Macaca fascicularis: one gene and its partners. The protein of the gene in region 1 purifies or fractionates together with the protein of each later gene. This does not show direct contact. Links are inferred from orthologs where the notes say so. Each region holds a gene or a part of one and is shown in the gene's direction. Other genes may lie near its edges.

The links. Proteins that work in one complex are often made in the same cells at the same time.
Region 2: the proteins of CAMKV (region 1) and AP3B1 purify together in Homo sapiens (affinity purification with mass spectrometry; 3 studies listed by BioGRID and IntAct, counting the BioPlex papers as one, with this or other methods). This does not show direct contact. The link is inferred for Macaca fascicularis from reciprocal best matches to the Homo sapiens genes CAMKV and AP3B1.
Region 3: the proteins of CAMKV (region 1) and TCOF1 purify together in Homo sapiens (affinity purification with mass spectrometry; 3 studies listed by BioGRID and IntAct, counting the BioPlex papers as one, with this or other methods). This does not show direct contact. The link is inferred for Macaca fascicularis from reciprocal best matches to the Homo sapiens genes CAMKV and TCOF1.

What each region holds. Positions count from the first base shown.
Region 1 is NC_088376.1:112,891,274-112,894,138, reverse strand, and holds the end of CAMKV (caM kinase-like vesicle-associated protein), read left to right. Parts: intron 1-50; coding exon 51-138; intron 139-427; coding exon 428-991; 3' UTR 992-2,322; downstream 2,323-2,865. UniProt on the Homo sapiens protein: Does not appear to have detectable kinase activity.
Region 2 is NC_088380.1:82,071,498-82,075,151, reverse strand, and holds part of AP3B1 (AP-3 complex subunit beta-1), read left to right. Parts: intron 1-2,047; coding exon 2,048-2,195; intron 2,196-3,654. UniProt on the Homo sapiens protein: Subunit of non-clathrin- and clathrin-associated adaptor protein complex 3 (AP-3) that plays a role in protein sorting in the late-Golgi/trans-Golgi network (TGN) and/or endosomes.
Region 3 is NC_088380.1:157,261,684-157,265,337, forward strand, and holds part of TCOF1 (treacle protein), read left to right. Parts: intron 1-2,399; coding exon 2,400-2,525; intron 2,526-3,654.

The sequences.
Region 1 (2,865 bases):
TCCACAAAGGCTCATTCTCTTAGATCCAGACACACTTGCACCCTTTCCAGGATTTCTGGCAATGCTGCTTCTGATAAGAACATCAAGGATGGTGTCTGTGCCCAGATTGAAAAGAACTTTGCCAGGGCCAAGTGGAAGGTAAGGCTTGGATAGCTCCCTTCTTGGCTCTATCCCAACTATTCCTTCTGGCACTCAGTTTCTTGCCTGCATCACACCCCTGCAGCCACACATAAGCTTTTCTCAGGCCATCAGGTGTGGGTGTAGCCACTGCGATTACCTTAAGTAGGAGTGCTGAGCAGCTGGGTACTTGGCCCTGGGGTGGATGGAGGTGGCCGGGGGTACTATGGAAGGAGTTTGGTCTGGTCACTGCCAAGCAATGGATCCAGCAAGCTTCACCCTTAGCCTTTCTCCACTGTGCTCCTTTCAGAAGGCTGTCCGAGTGACCACCCTCATGAAACGGCTCCGGGCGCCAGAGCAGTCCAGCACGGCTGCAGCCCAGTCGGCCTCAGCCACAGACACTGCCACCCCCGGGGCTGCAGGTGGGGCCATAGCTGCAGCTGCGAGTGGAGCTACCTCAGTCCCTGAGGGTGATGCTGCTCATGCTGCAAAGAGTGATAATGTGGCCCCCGCAGACCGTAGTGCCACCCCAGCCACAGATGGAAGTGCCACCCCAGCCACTGATGGCAGTGTCACCCCAGCCACTGATGGAAGCATCACTCCAGCCACTGATGGGAGTGTCACCCCAGCCACTGACAGGAGCGCTACTCCAGCCACTGATGGGAGAGCCACACCGGCCACAGAAGAGAGCACTGTGCCCACCATCCAAAGCAGTGCCACACTAGCCACCAAGGCAGCTGCCACCCCTGAGCCGGCTATGGCCCAGCCGGACAGCACAGCCCCAGAGGGCGCCACAGGCCAGGCTCCACCCTCTAGTAAAGGGGAAGAGGCTGCTGGTTATGCCCAGGAGTCTCAAAGGGAGGAGGCCAGCTGAGTAGGCAGCCTGGTGAGGGGGGGCGGGGGATGGGCAGGAGGGTGGGAGAGTGGATGAGGGGCTTCTCACTGTACATAGAGTCACTGGCATGATGCCCTCGCTCCCCCATGCCCCCACATCCCAGTGGGGCATACTTAGGGGTCACGGGAGAGCAGTCTCGTCTCCTGTGTGTATGTGTGTGAGTGGTGGGCAGGCCAGTGGCAGGGCCAGCCCCAGCCCCTGCATGGATTCCTTGTGGCTTTTCTGTCTTTTGCTAGCTTCACCAGTTTCTGTTCCTTGTGGGATGCTGCTCTAGGGATACTCAGGGGGCTCCTGCTCTCCTTCCCCTTCCCTTCTTGCTTCACCATTCCCCTAGGCAGGCCCTGCAGGTCCCACACTCTCCCAGGCCCTAAACTTGGGCGGCCTTGCCCTGAGAGCTGGTCCTCCAGCGAGGCCCTGTCAGCGGTCTTAGGCTCCTGCACATGAAGGTGTGTGCCTGTGGTGTGTGGGCTGCTCTAGGAGCGGATACAGGCTGGTATAGAGGATGCAGAAAGGTAGGGCAGTATGTTTAAGTCCAGACTGGGCACATGGCTAGGGACACTGCTCTCTAGCTGTGGGGGTCCTCAGGAGTGGAGAGAATGAGTAGGAAGGCAGAAGCTTCCATATTTGTCCCTCCTAAGACCCTGTTATTTGTGTTATTTCCTGCCCTCCTGAGTCCTGCAGTGGGCTGCCCTGTACCTTGAACCTCATGAGCCTCTAAGGGAAAGGAGGAACAATTAGGATGTGGCAATGAGACCTGGCAGGGCAGAGTACAAGCCCAGCACCCAGTGTTCCAGCCTAACTAGGTCCTTACCCTGGGCCAAACAGGGAGGGCTGATATCTCCTTGCTCTTCTTAGATGTCCACCCCCTACAATCTCAACCCACAAGTCCTCTCCACCCTAGGGGGCTTGCTGCATGGCAATACCCCATAATCTGATTTGGGGGTTTGCCCTTTACAGGGGCAGATTTTCTGCTCAGTTCAACAATGAAATGAAGAGGAACTCCCTCTATTTTTACAGCTCACTTCTATCAGAGGCCCAGGTGCCTCAGAGCCACATTGAGTTGCTGTTGCTGGGAAGAGGAAGTAGAGTTAAAGTCCCCAGTTTCCTGAGGGAGGCTCCTGACAGGTGCCCTTTGTCAGACCCAATCACAGCCTGGACAGGCAGCCACATTGGTCCTCGCCCTTGCTTGGCACTCCTTGGTGGTCCTGCCCTTCTCCCTGCATGCCTGTGGGTCTGCTCTGGTGTGTGAAGGTCGGTGGGTTAACTGTGTGCCTGCTGAACCTGGCAAATAAACATCACCCTGCAAAGCCTCTGGCCACCCTCTTGCCTTTGCTTCCTCTGTCCTACTGGGGAGGAGCCCCTGGAAGGCAGTGGGGAGGGGAGAGGCTGGGAGCAGGTTCATAAGTAGTGGCTGGGAGTAGTAGTGAACAGTGCCCTGTGGATTTCTTGGGCTGAGAGTGAAGATCATCCTCACCACAGTGTATTCCTCAATGGTGGTGGTGGTGGGGGTCCTCTGGACTCTAGAAATCCATGTGAGTAGTGGGTCTTGGGCTGCATTTGGACCGAGGAATACTCCCTGGGCTGAGAGCTCAAGTAAGGGCTGCTGTTTTTGACTCCTGTTGACCGAGGAGCCTCACTCTTGATTTAGGCATAGAGCTGGAATCTACCTGGGCCAGCCACCACAAGGACAGACCCTGCTATTAGCCAAAGATAGCTTCCCTGAGCTGGGGAGAGGGTGTAGGGTGAGCAGTGCACAAAGATTCTATAATGCTCTGCGTTCTTCCTGTGAACACCTGTGCTTTCCACATATGCCCCAAATGAAATCTCACTCTGGGTCTATTTCAGCTGGAGCA
Region 2 (3,654 bases), on another chromosome or scaffold:
TTTATTATTCCTTTCTTCAGAAATAGATTTTTCTCTTTACCCACATTTGAATTTAAAAGAATTGTTTATTACAAAGAGAACCACAAATACATTCTAAACCTTATATTTTTAAGTACACATTTTAACCAGTGAATTGGGGATAATAAATTGCCGTTTTTTTGCCAGGGAAAAACAACAACATATTTTTCAGTCTTCAAATATAATTACATGTGCTCTGAGATGTTGCCATGGCTCCATTTTTAATAAACAGCAATCATATTTCCTCTACAAAAATCAATTCTAGGAAATATCGATTCTTTCCTTGCCTCACTCCTCTCCCTCCCCCAGTATTTTTCTGCCTCTTAGAATGTTTTTTTAACTTTGCTAGTATGATAATTTTTTAAAGCTCTTAATAAGCTTTAAGCATCTTCAAAAACCACCCTTTAGTAATCATAAATATTTATGACCGAATTTAAATTTTACACTCCAAAGTGTTTTCATTTGAAGGGAGATAGTATGACATAGTGGAAAAAATACGGACTTTGGAGTGAGACAGGCTTGAGTTCAGATTCTAGTTCTGCCCCTCTTGTTATGTGTCCCTGAGCAAGTTATTTAACCTTTCTGAATATTAATTTCATTATTGTAAATGGGATAATAATGTACCCAGGAAGAGTGCATTTAAATTAGGTAATCAGTATGATTGGTATGAAATGCCTAGCCCTTTCTGGCCCACAGTAGATTCTTAAAAATATACACACACATGTTGTAGAGAGAACTAGACTTTTAGTTTCCAGGAAAATATAAAACACCACAAGGCATCTCTCATCCCCTGAGATAAGGGTGTTTGGTCATCTCACATGTTATTCCTTCTCCTTGGAGAGCTGCTTCCCTGCCCATCTGCCAGCCTTACTCCTATATCTTGGCTTATATGTCTCTTTCTCCAGGAAGCATTCCTAATTGGATTAAGTTTGTTTAGGTGTCTCTCCAAATGTTCTCCTGACACACTATAATTTATTACTTACTATACTGTATTATCACTGCCACCTTATCTATATCCTCCAGTGGACTGTAGACTCTGTAGGGTAGACACACATAGATCCTCTTAACCATTGTTATCCTTAGCACCTAACATAATGCCAACATGTAGTCAAAAATTAATTAATATTTGTTGAGCAGATGAACAAATGAACAAATGAATGGTGTTAAGCACTTAGGTATGATCATTTGGTAATTTAAAAGTTTATATTTGATTAGCTTAAATTTGTAGCAAGATAGTACTTTAGAAGTTCCTTTGTTAACCAGAAACACATTTCTCATAGAATGTGTTTAAGGTCACATTTGAGAACTTGTAGTAAGTAATTTTCTTGGGTAGAAAAGTGTATAAAATACAAGTCTATTTTAGCAAAAGTAGATATATAAATATTTAAATATATTACTAAACCGGGTGTGGTGGCTCAAGCGTGTAATCCCAACATTTTGGTAGGCCGAGTTGGGAGGATTACTTGAGCCCAGGAGTTCCAGACCAGCCTAGGCAATATCGTGAGACCCTGTCTCTACAAAAAATATAAAATTAGCTGGATGTGGTAGTGCCCGCCTGTAGTCCCAACTACTTGTGAGGCTGAAGTGGGAGAATCGCTTGAGCCTGGGAGATCGAGGCTGCAGTGAGCCATGATTGCACCACTGTACTCCAGCCTAGATGACAATGAGACCCTGTCTCCAATATATATATGTGTATACACACACAGTATTTTGAGATAGCATTTTAAAAATCAGCCTAAATATCTTTGAAGTTGTTACTGGTAGTACTTAATTCTTGGTAAATCAGACATTTAATATTTTCTACATTGTTTTTGATTATATTGTTTAGTGTCATTTTATGACTTTTTGCATATGAAGTGTGTATGACAGGATAGAATTGAATTTGAATGGGTTCTAATTTATTTGGTTATGGGTAATACCTTCATTATTACCTCATTAATGTATTCTGGAATTTAAAAACCATTTTTTATATAAACGACTTATATAAAGGAGTTAAAGTTGATATTTCAAAATTTACTATTATATATAGTGATTCTGAAGATGGGGAGAAGGAAAATGAAAAATCTAAAACTTCAGATTCTTCAAATGCCGAATCTAGTTCAATAGAAGACAGTTCTTCAGATTCTGAATCAGAGTCAGAATCTGAAAGTGAATCTGAATCCAGAAAAGTCACTCAGGTAAGAGATTATGCATTTGTTGTAATTGAAGGTAAATATACAGCAACTAAAATAAACAACACCATCCTTATCTATGCCTGTAATTTTTTATTTTTTCTAGATAAGCCTTTCCCTTATAACCTAACTCTGAAGAAAAGCTAGAAACTTTCAAAAAATCTCATCCCTTGCCACCGAAATCAGGGAACTCTTATGCATATGGCTTTTTTTGTTCTTGGCTAGGTTGTGACAAGGGGTGTTTTTGCTGAAGGGACTGTGAAAGGAAGTCACAAAAAATAGTATTGAGCAAAGAATTCTAAGCATACATACATCATCAGAAATTTAGACTATTCAGTTTTTTAAAATATTGGGCATTTTGCATAATAGAGTATGTTTTAAAGCTTTAATTAAAGAGTATACATTCTTTAGTAAGAATTTGCATAGACATTTAAAAACAAATGCAAGAGCCACTTATATAATAAAATAATAATGCTTTTTGGTAATAACGTTTGTAACACTGAATTTTGCCTGCTTAGCAGGAAAAAAATAAAGTATAAATTGCAAAAATGTAGTTATTAATGTAAAATGTATTCTATCTGATTTCAGGTCTAGTTAAATGAATAAAATAATAATACAGAATTCAGACCTAATTATAATTATCTTTTTGGTCTTTAATAATCACCCCTTTCCTATAAATGGGCCGTGTTCATGCTAGACTTCAAGTATAGTAGTTTTATGTATAACTGTGTTATTCTGTTTGTTGAAAATATGGCCAAACTCTGCCTTTGATTCAGTTCAGTTTCTTCTTAATCCAATATTGTTTTTGTTTATTTGTTCTATTAACTTGAATTTCTTCAGTATGTTATCTGAGTAGGCAAGGATGAAAATTAATTTATTGAAGTAGACAATTGCCCTCCCCCATCCAAAGATTTATTGTTAAAGAATGTTTTTAAAATTGGCTAGCCTTATTTCACATTTTCTTGCATTTATTAAAACCTATCTTAAACTTGAATTTATATTTAAAACTTGTGTCTGTATATAAAATAACCTAAGATTTTTATTTTTAAAAAATTCACATAAAATCTTAAGAGATTTTATGGTTTATTAATCTGGCCTGATATAAAAACTTATCACATAGTGAGTTTGATGTACTCTCATTTCGTACTTACATCAAATTACCAGAAAGTTTAAAATGTTATTGAAAATAAAGAGAGTTACAAATCGACAGTAAGTACAACCCAGAGTAAGAAGTATTTTTTTTAAATGACTGAACAAGAAATCAGTGAGTGTCGAGTGGTGGAAGTTATTCTTAGGAAGTTTTATAACAGTTGAAAAATTATAGACTTCAGTTCCTCTGTACTATTAGAAACAGAGCTTTAGGATGCCATTAAAAAGCCACAGTGGTTGAACATCATGTTGTGTTGTACCCCTTCCTCCCCCTGAAAAAAACAAAAGAAGATAAAAGCCACGGGGGCACTCCAGG
Region 3 (3,654 bases), on another chromosome or scaffold:
CAGGGCACAGGTGTGTGATGGACGTGACTGATGCAGGCCTGGCAGAAATGATAGATGTCAGCCGGGCGCAGTGGCTCAAGCCTGTAATCCCAGTAGCTTGGGAGGCCAAGGCGGGCAGATCATGAGGTCAGGAGTCCAAGACCAGCCTGGCCAACATGGTGAAACCCTGTCTCTACTAAAAAAAAAAAAAAAAAAAAATACAAAAATTAGCCAGGCATGATGGCGGGTGCCTGTAGTTCCAGGTACTCGGGAGGCCGAGGCAGGAGAATTGCTTGAACCTGGAAAAGCGGAGGTTGCAGTGAGCCAAGATCGTGCCATTGCACTCCAGTCTGGGCAACAGAGTGAGACTCTGTCTCAAAAAAAAAAAAAAAAAAAAAAATGTCAGGAGAGATGGTAGATAATGGTAGCAAGTAGGACAGACCGGGGAGCCCTTGCCCCATCCATAAGGACAGTTCCTATCAGCTTCAGCCAGTCATGACTGTGGAAATGGACCTTCTTTGTGGCCAGATCTTCCATTTCTTAAGGGAAGCTGGAAGTCCCTGTGCCAGGCCAAGCTGCATAACCTCTCTTAGATTTGTTTTCGTCATGAGTAAAACAAGCACTGAGATGAATGCTCCCTATCCCTAACCTCTGCCTTTGATATAACAAACCATTACTGGGGGCGAAAGACATTTGGCCCTGCCCTCAAGGAGCTCACAGTCTGTGGGGCAAGACAGGTGGCCGGATTATCGCAGAGTATGCTGGTGGTGCTGACAGCTGAAAGAGCAGGTCTCTGAGAGGCCAGAAGAGGAGCGGGTGATGGAGCTGAAGGATGACCAGGCACAAAAGTGGACAGGGCCCCTCAGTGGGTGCAGACGGGCTGGGCATGAACGTGCATGGTCACTGAAGGCTGCTGTCCTACAAGCCGTAGGCCCTCCCAGGTGCTTGTTACTGGTAGATTTATGGAGGACCTAAATGACAGACTAAAGCATAGGCCTCAGCCATATTTTGGCCTGTGTAGTATTTTTGTTTTTAAGTTTTCAACGAGTTCCTCTCTCCATCAGAATGGCCTAAGTTGCAGGAGAAAGCCCCATTCAAAAGAGCTTCACTAAGGGGATTGACTCTTACAGTGCACAGAGTCCCAGGTTCCAGCTGCTGAAAAGCTGGTTCCTTCAGCTAAGCATCAGTGGTGACCAGATTTCCATCTCTGTGCTCCATCAGCTTTATGGTCATAGCAGGGCTGCAGCATCTCCTAAAGTGCTGGGGGCAGGCCAGGTGCAGTGGCTCACACCTGTAATCCCAGCACTTTGGGAGGCTGAGACAGGCGGATCACTGGAGGTCAGGAGTTCAAGACCAGCCTGGCCAACATGGCGAAACCTGTCTCTACTAAAAATACAAAAATTAGCTGGGCCTGGTGGCACTGGCCTGTAATCCCAGCTGAGGCAAGAGAATCACTTGAACCCGGGGAGGAGGAGGTGTTGCAGTGAGTAAGATTGTGCCACTGCACTCCAGCCTGGGCGACAGAGTGAGCAGAGCAAGAGTCCATCTCAAAAAAGACTGAGGAGTAGACTTAAGGCTACTCAGACCTCAGGCTGGATGTGCTAGCTACCCTCTTAGCCATAGACAAGAAGCCAGTAGTTCCCATGACTGGCTGGGAGGAGGGACCACCCTCCCTGAAGCATGTGGTAGGAGCCACTGAACAGTGAGGGTTCTGTTAGCAAGGAACAGATGGGGGCATGGCTGTTAGGAGGCAGCCAGCAGTGTGCATTGTAGTTGCCCCATTTAAAAATTGGAAATGACGTACAGATCTTCCAGCTTCTCTTGAGAAATTGGAAGCTCAGGCAGCCTGGGTCCTACTTTCTTGGCTAGGCTGAGTAGGGAAAAGGGGTCCCCCATTCCAGTAGGGACCACTGAGCTGCCATCACCACCAGCATTTCCACCCGGATCTCTGAGTCCTCCTCTGACTGCAGTGTTCACCAGTCCAGCCCCCATTATCATGCCTGCCCCAGCAGGAGGGTATGGTAGCCAGTGGAACACTTCTAGGCAGCTCCTGCTTTTGGCTGGGGATGTTACAACCAGAGGTGAACTGTGCTGGGACCACTGGCTTGTGCCTGCAACCTTGTCCCAGGCTGCTGTCACCTCTTGTCCAGACCCTGGGCCAACAGCCCTGCAGCCCTCAGGTTTTAGCTGTATCGGAGTCATAAATCCCTTTCACGTTCGAAGTTAGCTCTGGAAGGAGCTAGCAGGGTGGAAGCATGTTTCCGGTGGCTGTGGGGCAGGTCAGAGCAGCAGCTATTCCTGTGCATGTGCAGGAAGGGGCCACGGTGCCTCCCCTGGAAACCAGAGTGCCTGAGGATCATTGCCTGCTGGCTCTTTCCCCCTCAGCAAATGCCCCTCTCCCCGACCACGTGCTTATCCAGGTCTTGTCCCCTCAGAAGGACAGTAACTCCAAACCTGCCAGAAGCAAGACCCTGGCCCCAGCACCTCCAGAGGGGAACACGGAGGGGTCCTCGGAGAGCAGTGAGGAAGAGCTGCCACTGACCCAGGTACGCCATGCCTTCTCTTTGCAGTCGCTGCAGGGTCAGAGCTGGGCTGGCAGGCCTTGCGGGAGAGGGCAGGTCTTTCCCATAGGGAAAAATCTCATCATATTTAAACAGCATCTCACAGCTTCCAGAGCTCTTTCCTCTATTGTGACATTCATCTGAGCCCTGTGAGGCAGGCAGCAGTGCACAGTTAAACATACAGGCTTCAGAGTGTTGGGTCGAAGCCCGGCTCTACCACCTAACAGCTCCGTGGTCCTGGGCAGACGCCTTTCTCCTATGTGAGGCTCAATGTTTCAACCATAAAATGGGGTTAGTACTAGTGCCTCCCTCCTGCCTCTGCACTGGAGCCAGCACACGAAGTACTTGCCACAGTCCCCTGCCTAAGAAAGGGTGCCTGGTGACTGTGAGAAGGCCAGGGAGTGTTGCCCCGTTTGACAGATCGGGAATCAAGCCTTAGAGTTGAAGCAGTTTCCCGAAATTCTCATGATTCATAAGAGGCTGAGGAAAGGTGCAAGCACTGGTCCCCTGGCTCCCTATATCTCTGTTGCCTGTTTAGGACCGGGAGTCTTCTCAAATCCCATGAGCTTTGCCCAGGACTCTTTCTCAAGCGCCTGTGGCATACCTTCACATGCTCCACTGCACCCAGAGCTTAAGCCACAGTCCTGACCAGGCTACACCCCCAAGGATGAGACCAGGCCCACCTTATCTCCCTGTACTCCAGAGGCCTAAGTCAGCCATGCTGGTGTGGTTCAAGCTTCTGTGTGAACCCTGGCCCTTCCATCAGACAGCATTACCCTTTGTCCTCTAGCCCCAAGCTCACAGAAGCTTCTGCCAGGCACCTCAGAGCACCAGCTCCCCTCCCAGGGCCTAACGACAGATCCTGGAGTTCTGCAACCTCCAGACCAGAGTGGTCTCATGAACCACCTCCCCTTGAATATCACATACCACGTTCTTACCAATTCATCAGTAAGGTCAGATGCTGTTTGCACACTTCCAGCAATAGGGTGCTCACTGCCTCTCACTTTCCAATAGCACAGATTACAAAAGTAAAGAACAACCACCACCAACATCGGTAACTCCCTGTATTTGCATTTTTCTGTTTAATCCCCACAACAGCCCTATGAGGGTGGCT